3 linked regions of the Elephas maximus indicus genome follow. The protein of the gene in region 3 purifies or fractionates together with the protein of the main gene of each other region. This does not show direct contact. Links are inferred from orthologs where the notes say so. Each region holds a gene or a part of one and is shown on either strand. Other genes may lie near its edges.

Region 1 (10,050 bases), on a different chromosome or scaffold from region 3:
CAGACCATTAAGTCTGGTCTTAGGAGAATTTGGGGTCTGCATCCCACTGCTCTCCTGCTCCCTCAGGGGTTCTCTGTTGTGTTCCCTGTCAGGGCAGTCATCAGTTGTAGCCGGGCACCATCTAGTTCTTCTGGTCTCAAGATGATGTAGTCTCTGGTTCATGTGGCTCTTTCTGTCTCTTGGGCTCGTAATCACCTTGTGTCCTTGGTGTTCTTCATCCTCCTTTGATTCAGGTGGGTTGAGACCAACTGATGCATCTTAGATGGCTGCTTGCTAGCGTTTAGGACCCCAGACGCCACTCTTCAAAGTGGGATGCAGAATGTTTTCTTAACAGATTTTATTATGTCAACTGATTTAGATATCCCCTGAAACCATGGTCCCCCAACCCCTGCCCCTGCTACATTGGCCTTCGAAGCATTCAGTTTATTCAGGAAACTTCTTTGCTTTTCATTTAGTCCAATTGTGCTGACCTTCCCTGTACTGTGTGCCGTCTTTCCCTTAACCTAAAGTAGTTCTTATGTACTATCTAATTAGTGAATACCCCTCTCCCACCCTCCCTTCCTCCCCTCTCTCGTAACCACAAAAGAATGTTTTCTTCTTATTTCTCGAGTTTTTAAAATAGTGGTCTTATACAATATTTATCTTTTTGCAACTGACTAATTTCACTCAGCATAATACCTTCCAGGTTCCTCCATGTTATGAAATGTTTCAGATTCCTTACTGTTCTTTATTGATGTGTAGTATTCCATTGTATGAATATACCATAATTTATCCATTCATCCGTTGATGGGCACCTTGGTTGCTTCCACGTTTTTGCTATTCTAAACAGTACTAGCTACGTTTTAATTGTCCAACAACCACAGGTGGCTAGTACCATGCTGGACAGCACCATCGGTACAGAAAGTTCTATTGGGCAATGCCGATTCTAGACCAACCCTTCGACTGTGAACATAAGGAAACTGAGGTACAGGATCTTGTCTAACAAGTGCCATGGAGCTAGTCTGCAGCAGAACTGCAACTCTCCCCCAGTCTGCCAGTGTCCCTCTTACTTGTCATGTCCCACCTCAAATTCAGGGTTTATTTAAATAAGTTTCCTTCTCTCCCTTTCCCTTCCCACAAAGTAAGAGAAAGTCCAAATTTGTGAAGAAAAAAATTCTCGCAAACAGCTTATTCAAGAATTATGATTAGATTTTTAAAGCCAATCTGCACTCTTTATATAAAATCACAGTAGTCTTAGACAGCTAAGAATGCCCTGGTGTTAGACATAGCTTGTTGTATTTATTTTACGTCCTTCCTCTTCTACTGGGCTGATGTTTCATCTCCCTTTTAGATGTGAAACCCTGAAACCAATGATATATACTGACTGGCCTGACTTGAAATTATAAGTGAAAAGATTAAGTTTTATAGTACTAGCAAACATTTTAAATTGAGAAACAAAGAGCAACCCCAAGAATAGTAACTTGCCTACAAATGTGGTCATTCAGGCCATTGAACACTCTTGGCTTTTAGTGTTTCAGTGGTTCAGTATTATAACATTAACAACATTTTTATTTCTGAAAGTTTTTCTTTTCTTGATCCTTACAATGTTTTTAAACAATATAAAATAGTTTTGTTTTAATTTCCAATGTATCTAAGGAACTAAAAGCACCTAAACCTCTAGGAAGGTTCAAAAACTAATCAGGCCAATATATACTCAGTCATGACAGAATTTTACCAGCGTCGTCTTTAAAAATAAAACCAGTTGTTCCTGTCTAGTATGTTCAGAATGCAAATATCTCCAAAGTCAGACAACTTAAGTCATGACAGTTCATGTCTAAAGGAAAACAATGTGCAACTCCATAGTAATTAAAACTTTAAAGACCCAACCATACAGTCCCCCCCCCACTATCCAGTATTCAATTCCATGTTAAATCCTAATAATTATATTTAGAGAAAAAATTGTATTTCAAAGTGTCCATAAAATAAAACACTGGGCAGTTAAAGGAAACAGTCTAACATAATACTTAAGAACACTTACTCAAAAATTTTCCTCATATTTTGGGAGGTGCCCAAAAGCCTTGAGTATGGGGTTCTGTACAAATACAAGTGACTTGTTATTCAGAGAAAGGAGGTTGTGCAAAAAAAAAAAGCTATTTTCTTTCTAAACACTCTTTGGTATTGAGGTAAGCAAGAACAAAAACACAGTCTAAGCACACAAGAGAGAAGCAACAGTCTCTTTTAAGTCACGAAAGGGGGGTGGGAAAATATCTGTGCTCTCACATTTTAAACAGGGACAGGAGAGCTTAAACTGAAGCAAAAATTTATTCTCTAGGTTTTAGACTTGCTACGTTACTTCTATACTACATCTGTTATGCCCTAACTCCCACTTTACCATATTAGGAAGAGAAAACATTTGCCCCAAGATCCTTTTGCCAATAAAACTACTTTTGGAGGCAGCATAGCTCATCAAGTGAAAGTAAACATTAGAAAATTGCAAGTGACAACAGCTTAAATCAAACTACCGGGAAACCGAATTACCGCAACTATCAAGTGATAAATACCAGTCATACTACCGTATGGTCATACTACTGTATGGAATGTTTAAAATATTGCAAACGCTAAACAAATATTAAAGTGCTGCATCAATTCCAGATCTCATGAAAAACAGGGCAGTCTAAGAAAAAAAAAAAAAAAGAATGAACTACAGAGGAAGGGGCCTTGGAAGGAAGGCCAGCTTGCAAGAAACACATAGGTTAAGGGTCGGGGTAGAGAAGGCGCACTTCTTAACATCCCTCTACCAAGAGATGCTTGTAACAACTTCAGCACTACCCACTACCCCCCATAGGCGATTTTAGGCTTCCTTAGGGAAAAGGATTTAGGCAACACACAAATGTGCTTTGAGACAGGAGAACTACGGAGATAATGCTGAAATTTCTAACTTTAAAAAGATGCACTAGCCAGAGAAAACAGCTGTGAAATCCCCAAAAGGCCCAATTCTCTAGCTTTTTGTAGAAAAACAGCAATCATCTTCAGACATGTAAGCCAGGACACCTGAAAGTGACCCAGCGAAGTTTTTGGCTGGCCCTCACTTATCTCTCAAACCTTCCTTCCCCTACTTCCCTGCTGTTCTTTCCTGGCACACAAAATATATAGGCCAATGAGCGGTGGGTGGGTGAGGAGGATGTGAGAAAAAATTTGAGAAGTAAAAAAAGGAGCAACTTAACAAGGACACTGAATGAGACTGAAGGGTCTAATAAGGGCAAGCAACACAAACAAGAACTACTGGAAAACGAAACGGGCTTTCCTGGGCAGTTGCGACCGCTCGGTGTTCCCAGGGTTTAAGCAGAGGTCAGACTACCTACCACTTGTCAGAGAGGCTGCAGAGGGGACGGCTGCTTGGGGTGACCTCTAACGTCTCTTCCGACTCTGAAACGTTAGGATTCTCATTTCACAAAACAGAATTCAATGGTCACAGAAGCCCACCGACTTAAAGCCCTTCGAGCCGAGGGCCTAGGCGGCTGTTTCCCAAACACCACTCCCACCTCTCCCTCCCACACGTGCCCACCCCGCCCCCTTTCAATATTTCCACCTCCACGTGCGAAAGGCCTCGCGGCACTGACCCCAAAGCAGATAGGCGCCTCCCCCCTCAGGGGACTAAAACTGTGCCTCCTCCGAGGGGAATGAGGGCTCCACTCTCCCACCTCGGGCAGCTAAGAAAGGGAAAAGTCCCCCATCCCGCCAACCCCCCACGTCAGAACAGGGGGAAAGGGGGAAAAAGAGAAAAACTTTCTCCAAATTTCCTCCCAAAGAGTGGAGGGGGTAGAGAGAATCCCAGCGAGGCCGGGCGGAGGAGAAGGGGGGGAGGGGAGCCCTTGAATCGTTTAACGGCCAGTAGGGGGAGGGGGAACTCCGGGGGTTGAGGGGGCGTGGGATGGAGAAACAGGCCTGGGAGCTGAGGTCAGAGAGCTGCAGGCGTCCCCCCCACCTTGCACACAAAGCGGCCGCCGCGCTCGGCTCTCACCAGATCCTTTGTGTTTTCCATCAGGGCCTCATGGGTAGGGGTTGTCCGTGCTCCCCAGGCCCGCGGCGCCCCCTCCCCGCGCTGGGGGCAGGCGCCTCTACCCGGGACTGCAGTGACCACAGGGGCCCCCAGCTGGGCCCAGACCGGTGGCAGCTGCGGCAGCCCCCGGATTTCCCCCCTTTAACTCGGGTGGCCCCAGGATATCAACAACATTAGCATAGCCCTCCCTCCGCAGCGCGCCTGCGCCGTGACCCGCGCCCCGATTGGCCCACTTCCCTACATACCCTCCTTTCTCTCTTCCAGCGTGGGACCCTCTGCAGGCGCCGTACGCTAAGGGCCGTACCAAGACGAAGGGGTGGAAAAAGAAATCGGAGCTTTGGTTAAGCCAGGTGCTTCAAGTCAAGAGCAAGAGTAAAAGTTTCATTCAGTCATCCCAGTTCATACTCTGGCTTTCTAGTACTCCTTTCAAGGTGCTGCAGCTGCAACGTTGTGTTGGAAAAATTTTCCACTCCTGTCACGCCGCTTCCCCCTACACCCGGAAGATTGGCCCTCCCGGAGGAACTCCCACAGGGGGAGGGGCACACGAGGGGAGTGGGCGTTACGTAGGGAGGTAGTGTTGGGTCACGTGCTAAGAGGCTGCGCAGGCTCCTTTCGGCCTCCCCCGGGCCTCTGTGGCAAAGGAAAGCAAGGCGTCCCGGCGCATGCGTAGTGAGGTTCCACGTGAGCGCCTGCGTTTCTTCTGAAACCCAACGATGCCGCCGGAGCGAAGGAACCGAATGAAACCGGACCGGCGTACCAGAGGGAAGCCAGACCGGAAGACTCCAAGGAAGCCGAACCGGAGAACCGCAGCGAGGCCGGACGGACCGGCCCCAAAGGCTGCCCCTTCATTCCAGCGGAAACCACCGGCCCGGCCGAGCGCGGCGACCGCTACAATAGCAGTCGCTGTGGAGGAGGAGAGGCGGCTCCGGCAGCAGAACCGTCTGGCGTTGGAGGACGACAAACCGGCCGTGGAGCGGTGCCTAGAGGAGCTGGTCTTCGGCGACGTCGAGGACGACGAGGACACGCTGCTGCGGCGTCTTCGGGGCCCGCGGGTGAGGGAGGCCGCGGCGCGCGGGCTGGGCGCGCTCGGGCGGGGCGCGCGGAGGGCGGTGAGGCTCCGGGGGCGGAGCCTGGGCGACCTGCGGCGGCGGGAGCGTTCAGGTGGGAGGGCGCCGAGAAGGCGGGCGCCGAGGGGCGCCTCCGTGCGGACCTCGAGTCCTGCCTGGCTCCGAACTGAAAGTCCCGGGAGGGCGGAGACCGCGCCTTTCTCCGCCCCGGTGGAAGGCGCTGGACACGAATGTCGTGGTCGGGAGCATCTTTCGCGGCTCTGCTTAACTCTGCCAAAACTCAGTGTTTTATCCAACTGGGTGGGTCACCTCCCTGAGTCGCCTGCCGAGCTTGTTAATATGGATTGCGGAGTTCCACTGTGTTTGTGGAACTAGAATTCGTGGCCACGTTCCTGGGGATCTATTTTAGCAACCTCTCTAGGTGATTATTTCTCGCACCAACTTTTGAGAAGTACAGTGTATTCGTTTATTCAGGAAGTATTTGTGATCCTGTTGGGTCTAGGTACTCTTTAGCAGTGGCAGGCTGGGTGATTGATTTTAATTTTTTACGCTCAAAGAAGTCATTCTTTTTATTCTGTATTTGGCTTTTATGCTCAGCCATTGTTCTAGGTGCTGGAGGAGACGTAGTAATGTTTAACACTGTCAAGAATCCTTGTTTTCTTGTAGCTTATGTACTATTGGTAGAAACGAGATAAAGGAGATAAAAACATGGGTAAAATTTAAGTATGTTGGTGACCAAAGAGATTAAAAAAATAAAGCATTCAAGGAAGGGGGTAAGTGTTGTGCAGGACACTGAAATTTTCTATAGAGTGGCCAAGGAAAGCCTCCCTGAGAAACTACTCAGTAGACGTTTGTTAAATGAATGCTGATCCTGCAGGTGTTAAGTACGCTCAAAACCCCCTTTGGTGCTGTGGGAGAAGCTGCTGAAATCTACTTGGAAGGTAGAGCACTAACGCTGGAAAAATGCTCAACAGTGTGTCAGTTCTATAGTGAGGAGAAAGAACAGTCTACGTGGAGTTAAGACTTCACGTAGGAGGTGGGATTTGTTGGGCTTTGAAGGATCATAGGCCAGTCATAAATTATCGTGCGATTTGGGGAAAGCTCAAGCTTGTTTCAGGGGGTGTTCTGTGATCTAGATTTAGGTTTGGTAGTATAAAGTTTCTTAAAGAGGTAGGGCTGAAAAGGGTTAAGAGAAAGGGAAAAGAGGTATTTCTAAAAATATGAAATGGGGATTAATTGTAACATTTAATTACGTTATTTTGTCTTTACTGCTAGTCTTTCTCTAGTCCTGTAATTTTGGTACTGGAATTTTTCCTGCTCTTCATCTGCCAACATAACCTTTCATTGTTCTTGTCTTGATCTGTTCCTTTCAGTGCCTTGACTTTCTCTCCTTAACTATTCATCTTGCCTCGCTCGCCCTGTCCAGGCTGTGGTGCCATTTTCTGGCCTCCTCGTTTTCTGCTTCTGCCTCTAGCACTTGTAGTGGTAACACTCCATTCCGTTATCTTCATCAGACGGCTGCAAACACAAAACATTTTGCAAGCCATATAACTACAAGGTGTGTGTCTTTACCGTCATGGGATATGAAAAGCTCAGTGCTTCAGAGCGTTTTGTTTTCTCTAGATTCAAGTACATGAGGACTCTGGTGACTCAGAAGTGGAGAATGAAGCAAAAGATAAATTTCTCCCTCAAAAGAAGCCAGTTTGGGTGGATGAAGAAGATGAAGATGAGGAAATGTAAGTTGCATGTCTTTTCCAGAATTTGTCTGGACACTGGAAAAGTTATTTTGCAGGTTTTTAAATTCTTTTTATGAATACGTAATCATGTGAAGATCTGAAAAATATAGGCATTATAAATACAAATAAAATATAGTTATGGGAGTTAAGGTATCAATTTGAAAAATACAGGAAGAATAAGAAAAAAAGTCACGACCAAGAGAGAACCACATGTTGGCATACTTCTTTCCTTCTCTTTTCTATGCTGTACAGAGTAGTTGAGGGCACAGTGTTTGGGTCAGACCTGAGTTTGCCTCCTTCTTTGGCCAGATCCGAACTATGTGGCCTGGGGCAAGTTTGGAACTTAGCTTTCCCTGTTTGTAAAACAGGGGTAATAATAGTAACAATATCAGAAAGCTATTAGGATTAAATGAAACAGCGTACGTAGAACCCTTAGCATAGTGCCTAAACTGAGGAAAGGCTCAGAAAAATATTAGCTAGCATGCACAGTATGTGTTTTATTAGTTGAGAAACTGCAGTATATTTTTTGATTTTTTTTGTACTAGATGATACATTGCAGGCATTTCTCCCCATATCAAGCATCTCTTCCCTTGTTTTAAAAGAAACTTTTATGAGTGTTTTCAATGGTTACAGTGTAGTCAGTTATATGAATTAACTGTAATTTTTATAGCTCTTTAATGTTGACAAAAACATCTTTGCACGTAAATTTTTGCCTACTTTATTATTTCCTTAAAGATTCTTTGAGGTGGGAATCCTTAAGTACAGAATGTTTGATCAATTACTTGATGAAAAAACATTTTTAAGGCTCTTGATGAATACTGCTAGACTGTATACCATGAGGTAGTTAACCTTCTCACTGAAAAGAGTCCGTCACTGTCTTCTCAGAATCAGTGATTTATCTTTCTTCAGATTTGGTTAGTTTGATGGGTGAGAAATAATACCTTTACTTTATCTGTGTTGAGAAAATGCTTTTGTTCTTGGTATTTTTTCTCGTAAGAATTATGTTTTTCCTCATCTCTGGGAGACTGTTTATTAACGATTTTAATGTATCAACTCTTTACGTACTGAGACTTCCAAATCTTTATACGTTAGATTTATTGAAGATTTTTCTCCCAGCTTTCTGTTGGCTTTTAAGTTTTGTTTGTAATTTTTTTAAGAGTACAAAATATATATAGTTTTAAATTATAAAATCTGTGAATCTTTTTCTTCATTGTTTTTAACAGTAAAATCTGTTAGAAGAAGACAAACGTTTGCCTTTTTCCCTTTATACTATGTTGAATTTGGCTTTTATACGTTTAATTCTTTGATTTACCCAGGATTTATTTTAGTGAATGGTGTAAGCTGTGACTAGATAAGCTGTTATGAATTTGAAGTATTAGCTCTCTCAAGGGTAAACTCGATGATTTAAAATACTGGAGACTTTGTTTTGGGGAAAATGACGCACATATGTGTGTATGAAATGTTTCACATCTTACGAATCTTGACATGTATTGTTCAATTAGACGTTCTCTCAAAATACTAAAGGCAACAGGTATTTGTGTTGACTCTGTAAAAGTCATTTAAAGCTTGTTTTTTCTCCCCTTTTTTTAAAATTGTGCTCTTAGTGAAAGTTTATAATTCAAGTCAGTTTCTCATACAAAATTTTATACACACATTGTTATGTGACCCTGGTTGCTCTCTCTACAATGTGACAGCACACTCCTTCTTTCCACCCTTTATTTTCCGTGTCCATTCAACCAGCTTCTGTCCCCCTCTGCCTTCTCATCTTGCCTCTAGACAGCAGCTGTTCACATAGTCTTATGTGTCTACTTGAGCTAAGAAGCACACACCTTACCAGTGTCATTTTATGTGTTATAGACCAGTCTGATTTTTGTCTGAAGAGTTGACTTAGGGAATGATTTTAGTTTTGGCCTACCAGAGAGTCTGGGGGCCCTGACCTCTGGGGTCCCTCGAGTCTCAGACCATTAAGTCTGGTCATTTTACTAGAATTTGAGGTCTGCGTCCTGCTTTTCTCCTGCTGCATCAGGGATTTTCTGTACAAGCATGCTGTTTTGATCTCTTACAGGGTTGACATGATGAACAATCGGTTCCGGAAAGATATGATGAAGAATGCTAGTGAAAGTAAACTTTCAAAGGACAAGCTTCAAAAGAGACTTAAAGAAGAGTAAGTGTCTTTTTAATGTGATTTACCAAGAGGTATTTATAACCAAAGGTGCCCTGGTGGTACAGTGGTTAAACACTCAGCTGCTAACTGAGAGATTGGCAGTTCAAACCTTCTAGTGACTCCATGGGAGAAAAGACCTGGCAATTTGCTTCCATAAAGATTTATAGCTCAGGAATCCCCTTGAGGGACTTCTGCTCTGTCATGTATAGTCGCTATGAGTTGGAATGTCTCGATGGCACACAGAGTTTATAACCAATAGTTTATTTTGGTTTGCACAGTCTTTGGTTATAACAACTTGGGTAGTCGAATTTCTCTTTAGACACAGTAAAAGTATTGGTGTTGGAGGAAATGGCTAAATGTCAGTTTTTTTGGCGGGGGGGGGGGCGGTGGAGAATACAACAAACAGAAAGGAAATTTGGGAAAAAAACTTGTGTCAATATAACCACATGATGATATTGTTTATTTGCTTGTTCATTTTTTTATCGTGAACCATTTTTTCTACAACTGTATACTGTGAAACTTTAAAAAAAAATTTACATACCTGCCAGCTACATTAATTAATTTTTAATATTTTGCCACGTTTGCTTTATATATGTGGAGTTGGAGTGTGTGTGTTTTCCCAGTCTGTTTGAGAGTAAGATGCAGACAACGGTACATTTCCCCTCTAAATTCCTCAGTGAACATCGTCTAAGATTAAGGGTATTTTCCTTCATGTCCACAATACCATTGTCGCACCTAACAAAATTAATACCTAATTGGCAGTCCATATTTCTTCTGTTGACCTAGGGTTCATGTGTTATATTTGGAAAAGATGAAGTTTTGTATATTCTTAGCAACATGGTAATTTTTTTTCAGACCAGTTCTGTCATGTATTCCTCTATGTACTATGACATTGGTTTATAACCATGAAAAAACTTCCTAATTTGTTCCCCAAGATTTGGGATGAGTTCATAAGAACAAATAAGAGAGCCATGTAATGAGACACAAATAATTTAATAAATACATATGAAGGACTACTTTAGATGGTCAACAGTTCATGAAAGT
Region 2 (10,129 bases), on a different chromosome or scaffold from region 3:
TTTGGGGGAAAAAGCATACCCGACAACATATGTTCCTTTCACTTGGCCAGTAACTTAAGTATGTCATGCTTTAATTGTGTGAATATATAATTCCTTGATTACCTTACTAAAAAAGAAGTTATATTTTTTCCAACTGACAATTTATTTCTGTGATTGTTATTTCAAAGTCTTTTCTAATAATCAAGTAGAGTCAATGACACCGATTGTTTTTCAATGGTTGAGCCTTGAGGTGAAAAGTTATTGGAGGCAGCAAAGGGGGCAGCCAGCGCCAGAGCTCCGCTCCTAGCTGTGGCGTGGGCAGGCAGGTAGGCGCAAGGATATGATGCTGCCGCTGCCTCCCCATGGGCCTGAGCTGTGCTGCCAGGGCTGAGCCGCTCGGAGTAGCCAGCCAAGTAGCTGCTGGGCACACCCATAGCGCAGGAGGATGGGCTGTGGCAGGAGACGGGCTGATGCCATTGGGCCCTGCTACTAGGAGAGTTGGACCCAGGACACCAAGTCCACCTAGCTGACCTACATCAACTCAGATGTGCTGCCCAGCACCGCCACCCTGGACAGAAGCCCCAAGGTGGGCAGCCTGCATGCAGCTAGCGAGCAGTCATGTGAGAAGCATCAATTGGTCCCAACCCACCTGGAGCAAAGCAGAATGAAGAACACCAAAGACACAAGGAAAATATTAGCCTAAGAGATAAAAAGGGCCACATAAACCAGAGACTCCATCAACCTGAGACCAGAAGAACTAGATGGTGCCCAGCCACCACCAATTACCACCCTGACAGGAAACACAACAGAAAGTCCCTGACAGAGCAGCAGAAAAGTAGGATGCAGAACTCAAATTCTAGTAAAAAGGCCAGACTTAATGGTCTGACTGAGACTGGAGGAGCCTCAGAAGACATGGCCCCCAGATTCTCTGTTAACCCAGAACTAAAACCTTTCCTGAAGACAACTCTTCAGACAAAGATTAGAATGGATTATAAAACATAAAATGATACTCATGAAGAGTGTGCTTCTTAATTCAAGTAGATACGTAAGACTACATAGGCAGCTCCTGTCTGGAGGCGAGATGAGAAGGCAGAAAGGACAGGAGCTGGCTGAATGGACACAGGAAATTCAGGGTAGAAAAAGGCATGATGACGTATTACAGGGATACCAACTAGGGCCACATAACAATGTGTGTATAAATTATTGTATGAGAAGCTAACTTGAGCTGTGAACTTTCACTTAAAGCACACAGAAAAATTTTGTTTCTCCAAAAAAAGAAGTGATTAGAATTAAATAGGCTAAATGTCTCAAAACACAATTACTTATTGAAAGCACCACTACTTAATCCTTACACCTCTTTTAATAAGAAAAGGTGGTAAAAAGATCTTAATATCTCGTGATATGGCCTTAAGTATCTCATTATCTCTTATCACAAGTGAATGTAACAGGTACAATCATTTATTCACTTAACAGACTGTTAGTTATTCTAGATAAGTTTTCCTCAAAGTGTGTGCCTGTGCCAGGAATAATCATCTCACTTGATGTCTGTTAACCAAAACCCACTGCCACTGAGTAGATTCCAGCTCATAGCAACCCTATAAGGACAGAGCAGAACTGCCCCACACGGTTTCCGAGGCTGTAAATCTTTACTGAAGCAGACTGCCACATCTTTCTCCTGGGGAGTGGCTGGTGGGTTCAAACTGCAGACCCTTTAATTAGCAGCTGAGTGCTTTAAGGACTGCACCCCCAGGGCTCCTTTTTACAAAAGGACAAATAAATGGGATTCTGTCATCATGTAAGCTGAGGAAAACCTTTTTATTCTATCTTCCTTTTGGAAATTTGCAGTACAAAACAGCTTCATAAAGATTCTGAGAGTCCCTACTGTAATTTTTTAAAAAGTATTTTCCTTTTTTAATAAATAAACTTATTTAACACAGAGACCTCTTTTAACCCATAATATCTATTAAGGTTAGAAAACTCTAATCATTGTAAAAAAAAAAAAAATACAAGTTAAAAAGCCTGTAATTTGTATAAATTATAAGAGAATTTTAAATTTGTGATGATAATGAAAATTTATAAAATGTTCTTTTTTGGAAAACTTGGTGGCATAATGGTTAAGTGCCACAACTGATAACCAAAAGGTCGGCAGTTCAAATCCACCAGGTGCTCCTTGGAAACTCTATGGCACAGCTCTACCCTGTCCTACAGGGTTGCTATGAGTCGAAATCGACTCCAGGGCAATGGGTTTGGTTTTGCTTTTTTTTGCACCACGTACTATACTTTGTAACTTATCTGTATTATTTTAATCCTTAGATCATTCTCATTTTAAAGATGATGAAAACTCCTCAGAAGTGGTAATGTGATCAAAGTCAGTAAGTTAGTAGCAAAGCCCTAAATGAACTCAGACCTACCTGACATAAAAGTCTGTGCTTGATCCTGCAGAAAACAATACTTTAAAAAATCTTTAGCATTTCAACTATAATAAAGTTAAATTGGGTTTTGTGAGCTGGATAGAGAGCCCCATGTACAATTCAGACTTCCATCATACAGTATACCCAGTAGAAGGATGTGGCGGCTTCCATACCATATCACCTTTCTAATATGCCCCTAATGAAACTGGTAAGAGGTTGAGAAAGTACATTCATTAACAATGGGTACAGATGTATTGGCTGGGGGGGGGAGGGGTGCAGAGAAGCAAGGGGAAATGAAAAGGACAGGGTCTTAGCTACTCCAAGGCTTCCACAGTCTGGGAAGCTTGTTGAGCTGATCTCTTTCCATAATACTCCTTTCCTCTCCATCAGAATTCAAAACCCACATCAACATCCATGCCTACTTTTCTAAGAAAACCTGCCAGCATGACAAACATTTTATATACAGACCACACATAGCTGGGATGCATGGAATCAAAACACATATCTTCTGGGGCCATACTCCATGAAGGCTAGCTATTAATGCTAATTACACAATTAAGGAGTACCTACAAACAAAGGGAGTGACACATCCAACAAGGGACTTTCAATTATACATTTTAATTATGTATCATATTATTCTTTTCCCATTCTTAATTTTTAACAAAGTATCCCTACAAGACACTTGAAACAACTCTCATCATACTCATTTCACAAATAGGGAAGGTTTGTCAGGTTCTGTCCCAGCATGGTAGACATAAATATGGTATACAGCACTGTTTTCTTACTTTGTAATGTATATATATTTTTTTTTTTAGTTAATGTAATTCTGCCTAAGTATTTGCTTTCTTATCTCCAAAGACAGTGATTCTTTGCATTCTCTGAATAATGGGCCCTTTTCAGAACTTGCCAGAAAAAAAGAAATCAAAAAAAAAAAAAATATATATATATACATAGGATATAATTCCAGTGTATTCCAGAACACCCTGAAGGCCATTTGCCAACTCTCTAGTTGAAACGGCAAAGTAATTTCGGTAAAGTCACCCGACAACCAAGCTATCACGAAAAGAAGAAAAGCTCGCTGACAAAAATGTTATTACATGCGACAGGTAGCTTTACAATAAAATCTAATTACCCTCACTCATTTTGATTGAGGAAACACTGTGTGGCTGACAACTGAGAACGTACGCTACAATGTGTAACTTTCCAAAATGTGGTATTCCAAGTTCACCAGGGTTTCTGAAAACCTACATACAAGCCATGCTTCTAGAAGTTTTCTGCTCTTGAAAATTTTAAGGAGAGGAGCTTTGAAAGAAGTGTTGAAATTTAAATTCGGTAACGTATTAGCTCAAGTCAAAACCTTCTCAACATTTATGCTGATGTAAATTCCATTATATTCCATTATATGCCAAATAAATAAATGTATACTTTTTTTTTTTTGCACAGACCCAAATTCGAGAAAAAAATACACTTGCCCCAATGTCTCCTCTTGTGAACGCCACGAGAAAAGCAGCGCGGGAGAGAAGAGACAAGATTCGGCAATGCCCGTTCTCTTTGACAACTCCTTACGCACTAGCGAGCGCGCCAGAAGAGTCAAAGAGCCGGCAAGTCTAGCGCTGGATGCGCAAAGCGAACAAGAGCAAACCGGGCGACTTACTCTGCACCTGCAAGTCCATCTCGCGCATCTCCGTGAAGCGGTCCCGCAAGTCCATGGGAAGCTGCTCAATCACTGTCAAGGAGAGAGTCCGTCAGAGGGGCGGGGCCAACGGCGAAAATACGCGCCTACGTCACTGCGCGTCTGCGTGCGTCGGGGGGGCCAGGGAGCCGGCAGCCCACAACGAGCCTGCCAGTTACCGTGAGAAAGAAACATCCCCCGCCGCCCCCTCCCTCCCGCCATCCCGCCTGCCCGGCCACTCGCACTCTCGCCCGCCCGCGGCTCACACCGGCGGCCCACGTCAGCGCCGCGCACTCACTCTCCAGATAGTCTTCTAGGTACAACATCGCGGCCCTTAGAACTGGGGTAACGAGGGCGTCCAGGGGTTTATTTGTGTCACTCGCTGTCGCCGGAGTTTTGTCCCTTTCAATATGGCGCCTCCGCTAGCAGCACCCGCTCGGCTCCGGAAAAAAAAAAAAAAAAGAAAAGAAACACTTTGGCGCCTGACGGCGCTCGCCTCACTGCCGCCCGGTGCTGCCATTGGCTGACTGGGGCAATGACGTAAGCCGGTCGGTGTCAGCTCTTGCGCCTTTGTGGGAAGTGTAGTCTTCCTCCCTCCGGAACGAGCCTTGATGGGCGGGCAGCTTTCCACGTGGAAACTACAAAAACTAGGCGCCATTGCGAACAGTGCGCCGCTGAATCCGAAATGCGGTGCCTCTGTTTATTTGTTGATTTTTGACAGGGAATGACGGGAGTTGTATGCTCCTGCACAACACAACTAGGAACAACTTTTCACCTGTTCTTTACTGCTATGATTTTATGACCCGGTGTTTGTGACTCATGGATTTCAGTGCCCGGCAAATCGCGAAGGTTCTAACGGTGGAATAATCAGTAAAGTTCGGGTAATTTGGAACGTGAAGAACAAAACTCTGCTGGAATCTGCCCTCAGTATTCACTCCTAAAAATATAAATGGGACACCTGGTTGGCGTCTATGTAATTTTAATGTAATTTACACTGAGAAGTTAGAGTGGAATGTGCATTCCCAGATGAAAAGGTGACAGCTAATCCCCGCTACCAAAACCCAAACCGGTTGCAATTGATTCCAATTCATAGCAACCCTGTAAGAACAGAGTAGAACTCCCCCATAGGGTTTCCAAGGCTGGTAGCCTCTTATAATCATATGTCCTATTTTTCAGTTCTTTCCGACGTCTTTCTATTGTAGTTGATCTATACACACAACCGAAAAACAAACACGTCGCCCTCCGGTGGATTCGGATCTCATTGCTACCCTATGGGATAGAGTAGAGCTGCCCCATAGGGTTTCCAAGGAGAGGCTGGTGGATTTGAACTGCCGACCTTTTGGTTAATAGCCAAGATCTTGACCGTTGAGCAACCAGGGCTCCTATACTCAACACCTGCAAAAGAAAAATAGTTCTTGGAGCTTTTATGTCCAATGAGCTGTGTTAGTAAAAACTTTGGATTATAATAGACATCTAGAGTCGTGGATATTGTCTTTTACCAACTTTGGACTCCTTCCCCCAAAAGTTCGTAAGTGATGTGTTTAGTTCTTCACTGCTCAGTTTCTTTTTTCTTAACTCTACCAAAAACCAAACCCAACCCATTGCTGTAGAGTCGATTCTGCCTCATAGCGACCACATAGTACTCAGTAAATGTTAGTTATTATTTTCCTCACTTCTTTATTTAAATCTCTTCATTTTTTAGGAAAAATTGTGTTTAGTTTATAATCTAATGTTCTAATCTGTATTATTCTGCTTGGTGTGGAAACTCTTGTTTATGTGTGTGTCCAGCTTGTCCCCTCCATTACATACTCTTGTATTCAAGAATTTTCTACCGCACTTAATCAGGAGACTTCCTGTCATACTGATGAATCTCAAAGGAACTTTACCCCAATCCTAATAAGAATTATTACCTACTTTTATCTTCTCTACTTGTATCTAAAATCTGGTACCTTAAGTCTTTCTTTTTCTCTCTCTTTCTTTCGGAACTTTTTTGTCTTGATTGTTTTGTGGTTTCACAGTGATTAAATCTAGGTCTGGATTTCTTCTTTTTTGTTGTTTTTGGGTTTTATTTTAACTATGCTTGGGATTTAAAGGGATTCCTGAATGTCAGGATTAATGTCCTCCAACAATTATAGAAAATTTTAAGCCATTATTTTCTTCAATGTTGCTTATTCCCCATTTTCTCTCTTCTCTCCTAGAACATATACAGACTTTCTCACTGTCTTAGGCTGGCTTCGCTAGAGAAGCAAAGCCAGTAAAGCATTATATATATATATGTATATATAAAACAAACAACAACAACAACGAAACTGTTGCCGTTGAGTTGATTCTGACTCAGAGGACTCTATAGGACAGAGTAGAACTGCCCCATATGGCTTCCAAGGAGCGGCTGGTGTATTCGAACTGCCAACCTTTTGGTTAGCAGCCAAACGCTTAACCTTATTAAAAAAAAAAAAAAACCCATTGCTGTCGAGTGGATTCCGACTCATAGCGACCCTATAGGACAGAGTAGAACTGCCCCGTATAGAGAGATTTATATCAAGGAAATGGCTCACATGGTTATAGAGGCTGGAAAATCCCATCCTCTACATAGTATTTTTGGCGATATCAGCTGTTACTATAAGAAATAAGGCTTTCTTTCAAGGATTAGCTGTGTCATCTTTACTACTGAAAGCAGAGCCATCAACATCTTTAAGACTAACCAGATTTGAAAACCAATTTAGAAAACTCACCCTTAGCGTTTTGTTTCTCTGGAACTACCCCCGGTTCCAAATGTCTTAGGCTGGGTTCTCTAGAGAAGCAAAACCAGTAAAGCATATACATATATATATGGAGAGATTTATATTAAGGAAAAGATTCACACAGTTGTAGAGGCTGGAAATGTGGGTCAGGCTGGAGGCTTCTCCTGACTCATGTAGCTGAAGGGGCTGGCGAGCCCAAAATCTGCTGGTTAGATGGCAGGGCTCTGGCTCACAGGCTGCCCAACAAATCCCAAGATTGGCGAGCAAGATAGCAGTAAGCTGCTAACTCAAATCCCAAGAACCAGAGGCCAGACAAATAGGATCCAGGGTGCGAGCAAAAGCTCACAGGCCTTGCCAGAATATCCACTTATATTTGATGCAGGGTGTGTGCCCAAGGAAACTGCCTTTCAACTGATTGGTTACTCACAGCATATCCCATTATGGAGGTGATTGTAATGGAGAGGAAAACCTGGACACACATATATAGAAGAGTTTTCTGATTAATGTGGGCCTACTGGATGCACTCTCCTGGGATTTGAAATTGGAATGTAGAGACACTGAGACTGAAGGAATGTTGACAAAATTACATTAATTGCAGCTCAATAGATATATGGTCCACAAGCTGCTGTTGCTGAGACCCCCAGAGCTGCTTTACTTTTTTCCTTGCCTTTTATTCCTTTCTCTGCCTAGAGTTGGATTTTTTTTTGCCAAAAGAGCCTGATTTACAAGTCTACATTGTCATAATACAAAAAAAAAAAAAGTAGAATTCTAGCTATTAATCACTCAGCTGATTATACATTATGAACTGCTTTTTATACTAGCGTGACTCAAGTATCTGTCTTCCCTCACCCCACCTTTACGGTTGACCTTTTTTAAAAATTTATTTGGGAAACAGGAGGCAGGATGGTTGCAGTGTTTCAGTGCAGGATCTACACTTAAATTGCATGGGTTCACTTCCCTACTCTAACACTGTTGTGTGATCTTGGCCAAAGTTATTTTAATTCTCTGTGTCATTTCCTGGTCTACAAAATGGAAATAGTAAAAATAGCTAAATCATAGTACTATATGATCGTAATGATATTATCTATGCAAAGCACTTAGTGTAATGATTCAATTGTTGTTGTTACATGCTTTCGAGTCAGTTCTGATTCATAGCAACCCTAAGTGCAACAACGAAACACTGTCCAGTCCTGTGCCATCCTCACAATCATTGTTATGCGTGAGCCCGTTGTTGCAGCCACTGTGTCAGTCCATCTTGTTGAGGGTCTTCTGCTTTTTTGCTGACCCTCTACCAAGCATGGTGCCCTTCTCCAGGGACTGATCCCTCTTGATAACATGCCCAAAGTATGTGAGTGACATATCCTTACCATCCTTGTTTCTAAGGAGCATTCTGGCTGTACTTCTTGCAAGATAGATTTATTCCTTCTTTTGGCAGTTCACAGTATATTCAATATTCTTTGCCAACACTATAAATCAAAGGCATCAGTTCTTCTTTGGTCTTCCTTATTCATCTCCAGCTTTCCCATGCATGTGAAGCGACTGAAAGCACCATAGCTTGTTAGTCCTCAAAGTGACATCTTTGCTTTTCAACACTTTAAAGAGGTCTTTTGCAGCAGATTTGCCCGATGCAATGCATCTTTTGATTTCCTGACTGCCGCTTTCATGGGTGTTGATTGTGGATCCAAGTAAAATAAAATCCTTGACAACTTCAGTCTTTTATCCATTTATCATGACATCGCTTATTGGTCCCAAAAACCCACCCAAAAAAACCCATTGCCATAGAGTCAATTCTGACTCATAACGACACTATAGGACAGTGTAGAACTGCCCCTAGGGTCTCCAAGAAGCGCCTCGTGGATTTGAATTGCTGACCTTCTGGTTAGCAGCCATAGCACTTAACCACTGTGCCACCAGGGTTTCCTACTTATTGGTCCAGTTGTGAAGATTTTTGTCTTCTTTATGTTGAGGTGTCTTTGATGTCATTCCAGAACTCGTCTCATCTTCAGTCATTAGTGTTCAAGGCATCAAATCTAATCTTGAGATCGTCTCTAAATTCAGGTGGGATATATTCAAGGTCATACTTTAGCTCTTGCAGACTTGTTCTAATTTTCTTCAGTTTCAACTTGAACTTGCTTGTGAGCAGTTGATGGTCTGTTCCCGCATTGGCCCCCAGCCTTGTTCTGACTGGTGATATTGAGCTTTTTCATCATCTCTTTCCACAGATGTAGTTGATTTGATTCCTGTGTATTCCGCCTGGCAAGGTCCATGTGTATAGTCACTGTTTATGTTGGCAAAAAAAAGAGTTTGCAATGAAGAAGTCATTGGTCTTGGCAAAATTCTGTCACTCAATCACCAGCATCGTTTCTATCACCAAGGCCACATTTTCCAACTTCTGATCTTTCTTCTTTGTTTCTAAATTCCAATCACCAGTAATTATCAGTGCATCCTGAGTGTATGTTCCATCAATTTTAGACTGCAGAAGTTGGTAAAAATCTCCAATTTCTTCATCTTCAGCCTTAGTGGTTGGTGCATAAATTTGAATAATAGTCATATAAACTGGTCTTCCTTGTAGGCATAGGGATATTATTCTATCACTGACAGTGTTGTACTCTGGGATAGATTTTGAAATGTTCCTTTTGACAGTGAATGTGACTGACGCCATTCATCTGAAAAAGTTGTTATTCCCAGCATAATAGTCCATATGATCGTCCGATTCAAAATGGCCAATACCAGTCCATTTCAGCTCACTAATGCCTAGGATATTGGTCTTTATGCATTGCATTTCATTTTTGACAGTTTCCAATTTTTCTAGAGACATACTTTGTACATTCCAGGTTCCGATTATTAATGGATGTTTGCAGCTGTTTCTTCTCATTTTGACTCGTGCCATATCAGCACAGAAAAGTCCGGAAAGCTGGCTCTGTCCATATCATTAAAGTCGACTCTATTTCGAGGAGGCAGCTCTTTCCCAGTCGTACGTAGTTTGAGTGCCTTCCCACCTGCAGGGCTCATCTTCTGGCACTATGTCAAACAATGTTCCGCTGCTATTCGTAAGGTTTTCATTGACTAAATCTTTTCAGAAGTAGACCACTGGGTCCTTCATCCTAGTCTGTCTTAGTCTGGAAGCTCAGCTGAAACCTGTCCACCATGGGTAACGCTGCTGGTATTTGAATACCGGAGGCATAGCTTCCAACATCACAGCAAGATGCAAGCCCCCACAATACGACAGACTGACAGACATGTAGGGATCATAAATGGTAATACCATAATAAACAAAGAAAATATTGAAGATGTTTAGGATTTCATTTTACTTGGATCTACAATCA
Region 3 (10,856 bases):
ACTTGAATGCCAGCTCTGCCACTTGCTAGCTGTGAGGCCCTTCAGTTTCTTCATCTATAAAATAGGAATCAAAATACCTCATACGGCTGTGACAAGGATTAAATAATAAAAACTGGAAACAATCCAAATATCCAACAAAAAATAAATGGATGAATATAGTGCATCAGTTCAATGAAATACTACTTAGCAGTAAAACGAATGGATCGACACACACACAACACAGATGACTCTCAAATGCATCATCATGAGCAAAAGATGCCAGACACAAAATAGTATAATTCCATGTATATGAAATTTTTGAAAAGGTAAAACTAATCTATAAAGAAAGAAAATCAGAGGTTGCTTGAACTAGGGTGGAGGGGGACTGACTACAAAGGAACACAAAGGAACTTGCTGGGGTGTTGGAAAAGTTCTGTATCTTGACGGTCGTGAGGTTCCCATGGGTGCATACATCTGTCCAAACTCATCAAAACATATGCTTAAAATGAATACATTTTATTGTATGTAACTTATACCTCAAAGGACTGAATGAGATAATACACATGAAGCCCTTAAAACAGTAACAAGGACATAGAAAGTATTCAATAAATGGTAGCTTTTTCAAAAAAAAAAAAAATTTTTTTTTTTTTTTTTTTTTAATTTAAAACATCAACACTTACAGGGAGGTGGCAAAATGGCTGATCAAAATCTGGTTGTTTAGATTCCAAATAAATAAAAGTTTATAGTATCTGACTGAGGCCAAGTGCCATGACCTAGACTACAAAGACCAAGCTATAGGAAGATCCCAACTGGCAAATGTCAGACAAAAGATGATGAAAATAAGGACAGGGAAGAAAAGAAGTAAAAGATGCCTGCTTGCCAAAAGAAAAGGATCAAAGGAACAATATTCTCAGCAATGATAAGAGTGCCACCAATGTCAAGGAACACCTAGATTACCTCAATCAGGCACTGTCTGAATGTAATTCCAAACCGAGTCAAGGACTTTATAAAGTCTAACGATAGTCCAGAAGCTACGCACAAAGGAGAGAGTCCTTAATTTTATTGTTGGGGGTGGGATGTAAAGGAGGATGAACATCCATGAACGCTAATATTAATCAAAGGATTTTGCCAAGCCAAAGAGAGAAGGGGTCACTTTGTGGACATTTTTTAAAATGCCAAGCAAAAATTAGTACATTCATAAGCCCTCCCCCACCCCCCAATTCTACATGATTTTAAAAAATGCTTATGAAGGTAACTAATTACAACATGTAGATTCTGGAAGTTGGGTTGAAACACAACTCAAGTGAAACACAAAACAAAACATCTGTGAAATTTATATCAAGGCAGAACTTTTTTTGTTTTGTTTTTTGTTTTTAAACAAATAGTGCTGCTTAAAGTCCTGTAAACAAGACCAGAAGAACTAAACGGAATGCCACTCAAAAAAGCGCAAGTCTTCTTACATGTTAATTTAAGAAAAAAAGAAGAGATGGGAAAAAATATCCCAATTGGACACTCTGGGAAGCAAGACTTTCAACTATAAATCTCAACTGTCAGGGTTTGTTTTGATTTTAAGGACCTCCACTTGTCACTTTAAAGAGGCAGAAAAGACAGAGAAAAAGGTTAGAAGCCCTGGGTTTCAACTATGGTTCTATCGGAATTTGGATTTCTTCTTTCTTAAAACTGGGGAGTTGAGGCAGGAGACTGAAAAGAATCCAACTTTGGCACTCATGTTCTAGATTGAAAATCACAAGTTTTACTGAAAAGGTTAATAGTACCGTGCTGTGACAGGAGTTAAGCACTTATTTTCAACACAACATGAAAAAAACTGCAAATTTTCTTCCTAAATTCAGATAAAATACCAAGACAACTAAGGACCAAATTTTGCTGATCATTGTACACATCATACATACCTTCCAGAGTTTAACTCTTCATTCTGGACAGGTTTCTTGACTCTTACCAAACCAAAATAATAAAATCCAAGTAATTACACACCTAATTGATACTTAGATTCCTAAGCTACCTTTTTTTTGGATCAAAACCCATAAAATAACACTAACAGAAATTTAACTTTGTGGAAACCCAAAGCTGTGTTTTTAAGCGTTATTAAAGAAAATTCAACCCATTATGTACACACACTATAATTATTCTATTTTAATTATCCTTTCAACGGAAAACTGAGCGAAGCTGGGAACAAATTTTCTTTAAAAAAAATCAAAATGTCATTCAACATTAAACTTCAGGCATATATGCTGGATTTTCATTTTATTTATTTTAAAAACGTTGAGCGCTCATCCCGCTATTACGGCTATATTCATTTCCCACTGAAAAGGTTGTCTTTCAAAAAATCAAACACCAAAGAAAAATGTGATTAAATCACAGTTGAAAATAGTAATAACGGGGTAATATAATGAGATCAGAACCTGAGTAGCCAATGAAAAGCATAAAAGCATTTCCTTCAATATTAATAGACAAAAGAGAAAACCAATCACAGAAACCTCGTGCCGTTTTTTGACAGTCACAGAAGCAAGAGAACCAATCCACACACGCCCGGGGTTGACAATAAGGCGGGACCGTAGGTTCATTGAAGAAATTCTTGAGGGTGCAGTTACTATTAACTTCGCATGCAAGGAACACCACTAGAGAGTCACAAACACTGTCAAGTCAGACGAAATTTAACTGTATGTAAAATTCAAGCCACTACCATGGGAGGGGGGGAAGCATCATTTCTGCTAAAAGGCATTGTAACATCAAATAAACAACGGCCAATTCATATGCACGAGGTCTTCAACTTCTAAATGACCACCATCCACTACTGACAATTCTCAGGGACAGAGCGTGGGCACCGCGCACGCCGACTGCTCTTCCCAAACATCCGTCGTTCATTCCTAACGCTACGCGCCGAGCGGGCGCCGTCCTAGCGAGGCCGGCAGAGCCGTCCCGCGCGGGGCCGGGGTGCGAGCCCTTCGCGTCTCCCTAACGCTACCTACACCGTGGTAGTCGCGGCCCCCGCCCTCCCCCGCCGCAGTGCTGCACCACTCACCCCGCTGCAACATCCCGGACGAGGGAGCGACGAGCGAACATTACCTTGCTAGGAGAAAAACGATGTTTGTTTTTTAAAGCACTTTACTTTTCATAAGTCATTTCAAAGAGAACCCAATGCAAAAGCAAATTTAAAAGTCGGTAGAAAAAAAAGTCTTTCCTAGCCGAAAGATCCCGCGCTCATTAATCAACCCGGCACCGGGGTGGAAAAAAAAGGTAAACAGAGACCGTACGCCAAGTGCGGCTAAAGCATCCCCTGCGCCATTCCCGGCCGCCGCTTACGGCAAGGCCCCCTTACGGCAGCGTAAGCAGCGCTGCGAGCTAATCACAACACTGGGACGCAACAACATGGCGGCCGCGGGCGGGCGCTGCGCCGGCCGAGAGGGTTTACGCTACTCCGCCGGCGTAAGGTCCCATCCATTGGAGCGGCAGCGGCGCCCTCCAGCGAGCGTAAAGCGCTCTGTGAATGGCGAGGCCCGACTGACAAAGGGGAGGGGGGAGGAGGGAAGGGGGGGTAATAAACACTCGAGTCCCTACCGATTCCTCCTCCTTCTCCATCCCGGTGGGCATCTGGGGCACGGCCCGGTTGATGGAGACGCAGTCGTTGAGATCAGGCATGTCCTTGCCGCGGTAGATAGGCAGCGGTTTGGCGGCGTCCAGCGCCCGCGCTCGGAAGGAGAGTTTACTCATTGTCTCCCCGCCTTACAGGAACAGCCCGGGCGGCGGCGTCGGGGCGGGCGGGGAGGGGGGGAGGACTCCCGCCGCCTCCTCCACCTCCTTCCTCAGTGCAGCGCGGCCGGCCCGCTCCTCCTCCTCCTCCTCACTGGCCCCGGCCACAGCATGGGCGCCCACCCCACCCGAAAACAGCCCCCCGCCGCCCGCGGCCGCTTCCACACACTAGATCCGCCGCTCGCCCGCCCGATCCGCTCCCTGCGCCATGGCCAACATGGCGGACATTACCACAGCGGCGGCGAGCGATCCCGGCAGCCCGCGCGAGAGCGCGCCCCCGCCGCGGGGACGCGCCTCGCCCTCTCCCTCCCTCCTTCCTCTCCCTTCCCCTCCCTTGCCTACCCACCCATTCTCTCCGCGGCGCTGCCGGCCCGCGGGAGCGTGCTCAGCCTCCGGCCGCCGGGAGGAGAGTGGGCGACGGCGCCCCTCCGCTGGCCGGCCGCTGCTGTTGCGGCGTGGCAGGTGCCAGGTGCGCAAGTTAACCCGTGCCCCAGAACCTGCGCCTCTGCCTCCGCGGCCGCAGCATCCCGCTCCTTGGGTGCCCGGGAGGAAGGCGCCGGTCAAAACGCCGCGGCGCCTAACAGCGCGTACGGGCTGAAGTCTGTGAGCGGGAAAGGAAGATGCCGATTACCCGAGCATGTATTTATAAAGCGCCCGTCTCCAAGGCGCGCCTAGGGCAGGCTAACGCATCTTCCAAATCGCACATCCCGGGAAGGTGCAAACGGTCCATTCCGTCTGCCCTGCCACAGGCGAGCCGACCTGCGGGGTCTCACCCACCCCGAAGCGCGCGCTCGCCCCAGCCCACTTCCCCGCGTCCTTTCGTCAGTACCTGACCGGTAGAGCGCTCCCAGATAAGGCACCGTCGCTCATCTTCGCCTTCGCTGGGAGGACGCTAATGGGAGCAGAAGGGGTTAATGGTTTGAGGCTGCTGGATGCAACAAGTGTACTGGAACCTGTCCCTCAAACTTCTGTAGAGTTATTTGGAAGATGGCAGGTATTTCTCAGATTTCAAAAAAAAAATAAGTTTTTAGAAATTAAAATTACAAAATTTGACCAAGACCGCACACATTTCCAAAGAGGCAGATAGATGTGCAAGATATTGGGTGCTGTGGAAGATGCAAAGAAGTTAGAGATAAAGTCTCTGCCCTCCTGCAGCTTTCACATTAATGGAATGACAGAAGAAGTCGGAAAGGTGATAACAGTGAGAGATGTAAATAGATGAACAGCTGGAAAAAATAAATGACAGCAAAAGATAAAAGTACTTGAAGAAAACTTTACAGGAGATGACACAAGGCACATGATTCATTATCAAATGAGTTGTACAGGTAATAAATGCCATGAAAGTTCAGAGAAAGGAGACATTACTTTAACCTGAGCTGGTCAGAGAAAGCCCTAAAAAAAAAAAAAAAAGGAGGGGAAATCAAGTAATTGATATTGCTGACATCAACTTCGCATAGCCAAGAGTTTCTTAGTTAAAGCGTTACAGGTTTCTCACAATATCCCTAGGATGAGTGCACAGATTTTATCAATTCTTAATAATTGGTAAACTCCCTAGCTGAGAGAAGGGTTTGCTGAAGTCTAGCAGGGAAAAAATTGATTCATAGTCATTTGTACGTGACATCGAAATGGTATCTCTCCATCCATTATGGAAACCCTGGTGGTATAGCGGTTAAGAGCTATGGCTGCTAACCGAAAGGTTGGCAGTTTAAATTCATCAGGCGCTCCTTGGAAGCCATATGGGGCAGTTCTACCCTGTCGTATAGCGTTGCTATGAGTCGGAATTGACTGGACCGCAAGGGGTTCGTTTTTTTAGTTTTCCATCCATTATCTCCTTCTTCCTACCCCCACTTCTTTCCCTCTTTTTCTCCCTCTTTCTCCCTCTTTTTCCCCTTCTTTTGAAGGCAGAATGGTGGATAAGGATTTCATAGTAGCTTCTAAACAATTTAACCAGTTTGGCCCAGCAAGACTCCAAGCGTTGTTTAGTGGAGCTTGAGTGTTTTCCATCACTTTGTTGTTGGAAACAATGGAGATGCTGTGACTCATTTCTTCTTGTAAGCAATACCTTCCTCAAGCTCATGGGCATGTCCCGCTCTGAGTGCTACCCTCTGAAGGAGTTTCAGTCCTCTGCAAGGAAGAATAAGAAGTTGTTGGGAGGCAGAAAGAGAAAAAAAGAAAGCAATTTAGTAAAGGAAATAAGTGAGTCATCTGTATTCCTAGCACTTCTCAGGTTCAAAAAGGATAGCTTTTTTCTATTCCCTATATTCATTGTTACTCTCAGGAAAGGAAGTTTTGAGTACCTGTGATATACCAGACTTTATAATGGTAAACCAAAAAAAAAAAAAACCAGTTGCCATCAAGTTGGTGCCAACTTATGGAGACACTGTATGTTTTTATTTATTTATTTATATTGTGCTTTAGGTAAAAATTTACAGCTCAAGTTAACTTCTCATTCAAAAATGTGTGCACATACTGTTTTGTAATATTATTGCAATTCCCACAATTTGACAGCACACTCCCCCTTTCTACCACAGGTTCTCGGTGTCCATTCATCCAGTTCCTGTCCCTCCCTGCCTTCTCGTCCTGCATTTGGTCTCATACATTTGATTGAACTAAGAAGCACGTTCCTCGTGTGTGTTGCCTGTCTAATCTTTGTCTGAAAAGTGGGCTTCGTGAATGGTTTCAGTTCTGAGTTAGCAGAGTGTCTGGGGGCCGTAGTTTTGGGGGTTCCTCCAGTCTTTGTCAGACCAGTAAGTCTGGTGTTTTTACATGAATGTGTCCATGTGTTTTAGAGTAGAACTGTGCATTATGGGGTTTTCAATGACTGTGATCTTTCAAAAGTAAATCACCAGGCCTTTCTTTTGAAGCACCTCTAGGTGGATTTGAACTGCCAACCTCTCAGTTAGTAGCTGAGCACCGCTTTGGTCACCCAGGGACTTTATATATATTATAACGGTACGTCATATATATTATCTCAATTAATTAAATTCCACTTAATTCTCATTATAACCCTGCAAAGAAATGTTATCATTTTACCACTAAGGAAACTAAGGCTCAGATAGATAATTTGTCTACACAAATAAGTGGTAGTTAATAACTAGGTTCAAATCCAGGTCTAGCCTGACTCCAAAACACATACTTTGTCAGCAATGCTACGCTGCTACCCAAGTTCCTCTCTTCTTATTGACCATTCAACATTCCAAAGTTGCTGATCCAAGGTGAACTACTGAAACTCTTCTATCAGGTTCCAGAGCCTAAAGATGTAATACCTCCAAGGAGGGCAGGAGCAATGGCTGCTCTGTTAAGCACTATATTTCCAGTTCTGTGCCTCACAATACATAGCAGGCACCTAGTATATATATTTGTTGACAGATGTTCCACCAGGAAATTCATTTATACTGACCCTATTCCACTCCATTTTAGGGTTCGGATACCTTCCTGGCCTGTCACCTGAACTAGCCATCATTGCCAATAGTTGCTCTTGTTGTGGCCTACACTGCTCTCCAGCTTCCTGCCTTTGGGTTTAGGAATTTTAGAACCAGTTAAAACAATTCAAACAAACTTTTTGAAACCTAAAATTTAATTACAAGAATGGGTTTTTGCTGTAGTAGTTCTTGTTTTTGTCGTTGTTTTGTTCTTTTACTTTAGAATCGATTTCTTCCCCAAATCTCCATTTTCTCCTTGCCCTGTAGGCAGTGATTATAGAGCTGGGAATAAAACAGTTTGAGGCAAATAACACAATACACTTTTCAAGTGAGACACAGCCTGTGTTTTCTTGCCTTCCAATTCAGTGCTCAAAGTAGAATGTGCCTATGTTTCACATTTGGAAAGTAGCTTTTATTTGGATATAAATATTATTTCTCATAAAGTAACGTTTATTTGTAATCTAGTTCTTGAACACCCATTTAATTGTTAGTGCCAAACACAAAATATCTTTTCAACTTTTGAAGTAGATCCTCTTATGAAATGTCTTTATCAAAACATGTTTTGAATGGCTGTGCAGCCTAATAGCCTATTTTAATTTCATTGTAAGGCAGTGAGTATAGTCATTCTAAAATTGGTCCACTTCAGATATCCTCTGGACCAATTCCAAATGAAATGCACTTAGCCCAGCAAGTGTAATATATATAAACACCGAGAATTAGAACCAGTTTTAAAGCGATATCGAAAATAAAGCCAGTATCTAAATGTAGTCTAAATTAGAATTAATATCAAGTAACCATAAGAATTGAACTTACATTTCCAGTTTCCATTTCCTGTACTACAATCAGGGCAGGCAGCTTCCAAATAATGGACAAATTACTTTTTGAAAGGAGCCTTAAAACTAGTAAACACAGTTGCTTTTCAACTATTTCAGAGTTTTGTAAATGTCACGTTCCTTTTAACTGGCTCCCTATTTCGGCAAACTCAGTTGAAAGTTAATTGGGTTGGTATGTGAGCTGCTTTCCCTACTCCTCCCCCTTATGTTCCCAGGAATGAGCCCAGTACCCGTAAAGCTTTGCTGCTTTCCATATGTAACCTGAATGTGGGGTTGGTTTGCTTTCATTACAATTAACCAGAGTCACTTTGCTGCTTCCAGTGCCCTTTACTGAGGCGGGCCTGAATCTTTGGGACTTAGGGAGCAAGACTGTATTCAAGTGACATGCCAGACATCTACGTCCACTTCTATATTCACCAGAGTGGGAATAAAAAAAAAATACCAGATGGTAAATAAAAATGTGTAGCTGTGGCTCAGTCTCTTAAAAGCATCACTCCTCAGACCTGGTTGGGATCACAGGGTGCCACCTTGTGTATAAGCCGACGATTTACTTCCCAGTTCCACAAAGGATGCAGATAGACTCAAAAATAATCAGTCCAAAAGCTCCGTGTTTTATTTACCAAGGCAAAATGAGACAGATGTAATTGAGGGAAACAGGTTTGAAAACACACAGCTCCTGAGGGTCCACAACACTCAATTTTAAATCACACCAACAGTCTGCCCCACCCCTGACCGGAAAACACACCCACTAGTCCACACATGAAACAGATTGATAGAGCTCACTCAGGCTTTTGGACGGGGATGCTAAAAATAAGCAAAGCTCTTGTGACAGAGCTAATGAATCTGACAGGGACGATTGTCCGTGTCCAAACAGTAAGCAAGCTACCTAGATGTAATTTCAGTACTTTGGATTTCTGAGAGGCAGTAATTCCATTGAGGTTATGAATATGATTCTACCTGTTTTAGTAAAGTGTATGATAGTCAGGTTTAAAATATGTCTGCACTTGCAACAGGGAAACACACTTCATTGGGGCAAGGCCAACCCAGCTACATTGCCCTTGAGAAATCTCACATTTGGAGAAAACCAGCTATAAATTCAGCACAGCTGCCATTCAGCTGTAGCCACTGTAACATTCATAGAAATGGGTAGGCCTTTCACAGTATTTTCAAAAGGGAGTTGGAGGGGGAGATCCTAGGACTTTGAGGGCTAAGGTGAGTATCTGCCATTGGTCTAGGTCTTCTGTAATGTCTGTTCTTCTCAGCTGCCTACCCTGACCTCCTCCACTCACCCATCTTTTTCTCCTCAAGTGTCTCTGACAGGTAACTTGGAAGGTGGTTTCTCTCTTTCTGTGAAGGCAGCTTAGTCCCAATGACTTCCTGGCACATTTCAGACAACTGAAGCAGGCTTACAGTGCACAGCTAGCTAAGGTCCCACGGTGTTAGCTGAGAGGATTCCATTTTAGGAAACCTGGGTTGCTATTCCAAATGTGACTTCCCTCACTTTTGTTGTGTCTCTCTTGCCACCAAAGGACTATTGTTCATAAGCACAGATTTGCAAATGGAGTATGCAGTTGGAATCCTGAATTAAAACTGGTGAACTGATTTAGTAATAGCCATGCCCTATTGATCTTATCATTATCCCCTGAACTCAAGAGTGACTGGATAGGAGGCAGAAAGGAAAGCAACTTTATGTCTCTAAATTAGAAAACAGGCCTACCTCCTTTTCATTGGCTATTACTCGTGACTTTGGCAGGGGAAGAAACAGAAACCGTTGGGATAAAACGCTAATTACCTGAATGTTTGTTGGTTTACCCACAACTCCACACTTGCCTGGCTTCAGAAAACATTTAAAATAGCTTCTACACATTTCATAACATGGAGGAATCCGGAAGGCATTCTGCTGAGTGAAATTAGTCAGTTGCAAAAGGACAAATATTATATAAGACCACTATTACAAGAACTCGAGAAACAGTTTAAACAGAGAAGAAAATATTCTTTGAAGGTTATGAGAGGGGGGAAGGAGGGAAGGTGGGAGAGGAGTATTCACTAATTAGATGGTAGATAAGAACTACTTTAGGTGATGGGAAAGACAACACACAATACAGGTGAGGTCAGCACAACTGGACTAAACCAAAAGCAAATAAGTTTCCTGAATGAACTGAATGCTTCGAAAGCCAGAGTAGCAGGAGCAGGGGTTTGGGGACCATGGTTTCAGGGGATATCTAAGTCAATTGGCATAATAAAATCTATTAAGAAAATATTCTGCATCCCACTTTGGCGAGTGGCATCTGGGATCTTAAACACTAGCAAGTGGCCATCCAAGATGCATCAATTGGTCTCTACCCACCTGGATCAAAGGAAAATGAAGAACACCAAGGACACAAGGTAATTACAAGCCCAAGAGACAGAAAGGGCCACGTAAACCAGAGACTACATCAGCCTGAAACCAGAAGAACTAGATGCTATAACCAATGACTGCCCTGACAGGGAACACAACAGAGAACCCCTGAGGGAACAGGAGAACAGTGGGATGCAAACCCCAAATTCTTTTAAAAAGACCAGACTTAATAGTCTGACTGAGACTAGAAGGACCCCAGTGGTCATGGCCCCCCAGACCGTCTGTTGGCCCAGGACAGGAACCATTCCCAAAGCCAACTCTTCAGACAGGGATTGAACTGGACAGTAGGTTGGAGAGGGATGCTGGTGAGGAGTGAGCTTCTTGGACCAGGTGGACACTTGAGATGATGTTGGCATCTCTTGCCTGGAGGGGAGATAAGAGGGTAGAGGGAGTTAGGAGCTGGCGAAATGGACACGAAAAGAGTGAGAGGAGGGAGGGAGAGGGCTGTCCTATTAG

The links.
Region 1: the proteins of EPC2 (region 3) and MBTD1 purify together in Homo sapiens (affinity purification with mass spectrometry; 3 studies listed by BioGRID and IntAct, with this or other methods). This does not show direct contact. The link is inferred for Elephas maximus indicus from reciprocal best matches to the Homo sapiens genes EPC2 and MBTD1.
Region 2: the proteins of EPC2 (region 3) and ING3 purify together in Homo sapiens (affinity purification with mass spectrometry; 3 studies listed by BioGRID and IntAct, with this or other methods). This does not show direct contact. The link is inferred for Elephas maximus indicus from reciprocal best matches to the Homo sapiens genes EPC2 and ING3.

Annotation. Positions count from the first base shown.
Region 1 is NC_064837.1:42,531,844-42,541,893, reverse strand, and holds the start of MBTD1 (MBT domain-containing protein 1), read right to left. Parts: upstream 4,270-10,050; 5' UTR 4,022-4,269; coding exon 4,001-4,021; intron 3,406-4,000; exon of another isoform or gene 3,342-3,405; intron 1-3,341. Other genes in the region: UTP18 (U3 small nucleolar RNA-associated protein 18 homolog), read left to right, coding at 4,753-5,091, 6,730-6,842, 8,908-9,006. UniProt on the Homo sapiens protein: Chromatin reader component of the NuA4 histone acetyltransferase complex, a multiprotein complex involved in transcriptional activation of select genes principally by acetylation of nucleosomal histones H4 and H2A.
Region 2 is NC_064826.1:28,787,475-28,797,603, forward strand, and holds the start of ING3 (inhibitor of growth protein 3), read right to left. Parts: upstream 4,559-10,129; 5' UTR 4,389-4,558; coding exon 4,361-4,388; intron 4,117-4,360; coding exon 4,045-4,116; intron 1-4,044. UniProt on the Homo sapiens protein: Component of the NuA4 histone acetyltransferase (HAT) complex which is involved in transcriptional activation of select genes principally by acetylation of nucleosomal histones H4 and H2A.
Region 3 is NC_064824.1:45,493,486-45,504,341, reverse strand, and holds the start of EPC2 (enhancer of polycomb homolog 2), read right to left. Parts: upstream 4,004-10,856; 5' UTR 3,709-4,003; coding exon 3,556-3,708; intron 1-3,555. UniProt on the Homo sapiens protein: May play a role in transcription or DNA repair.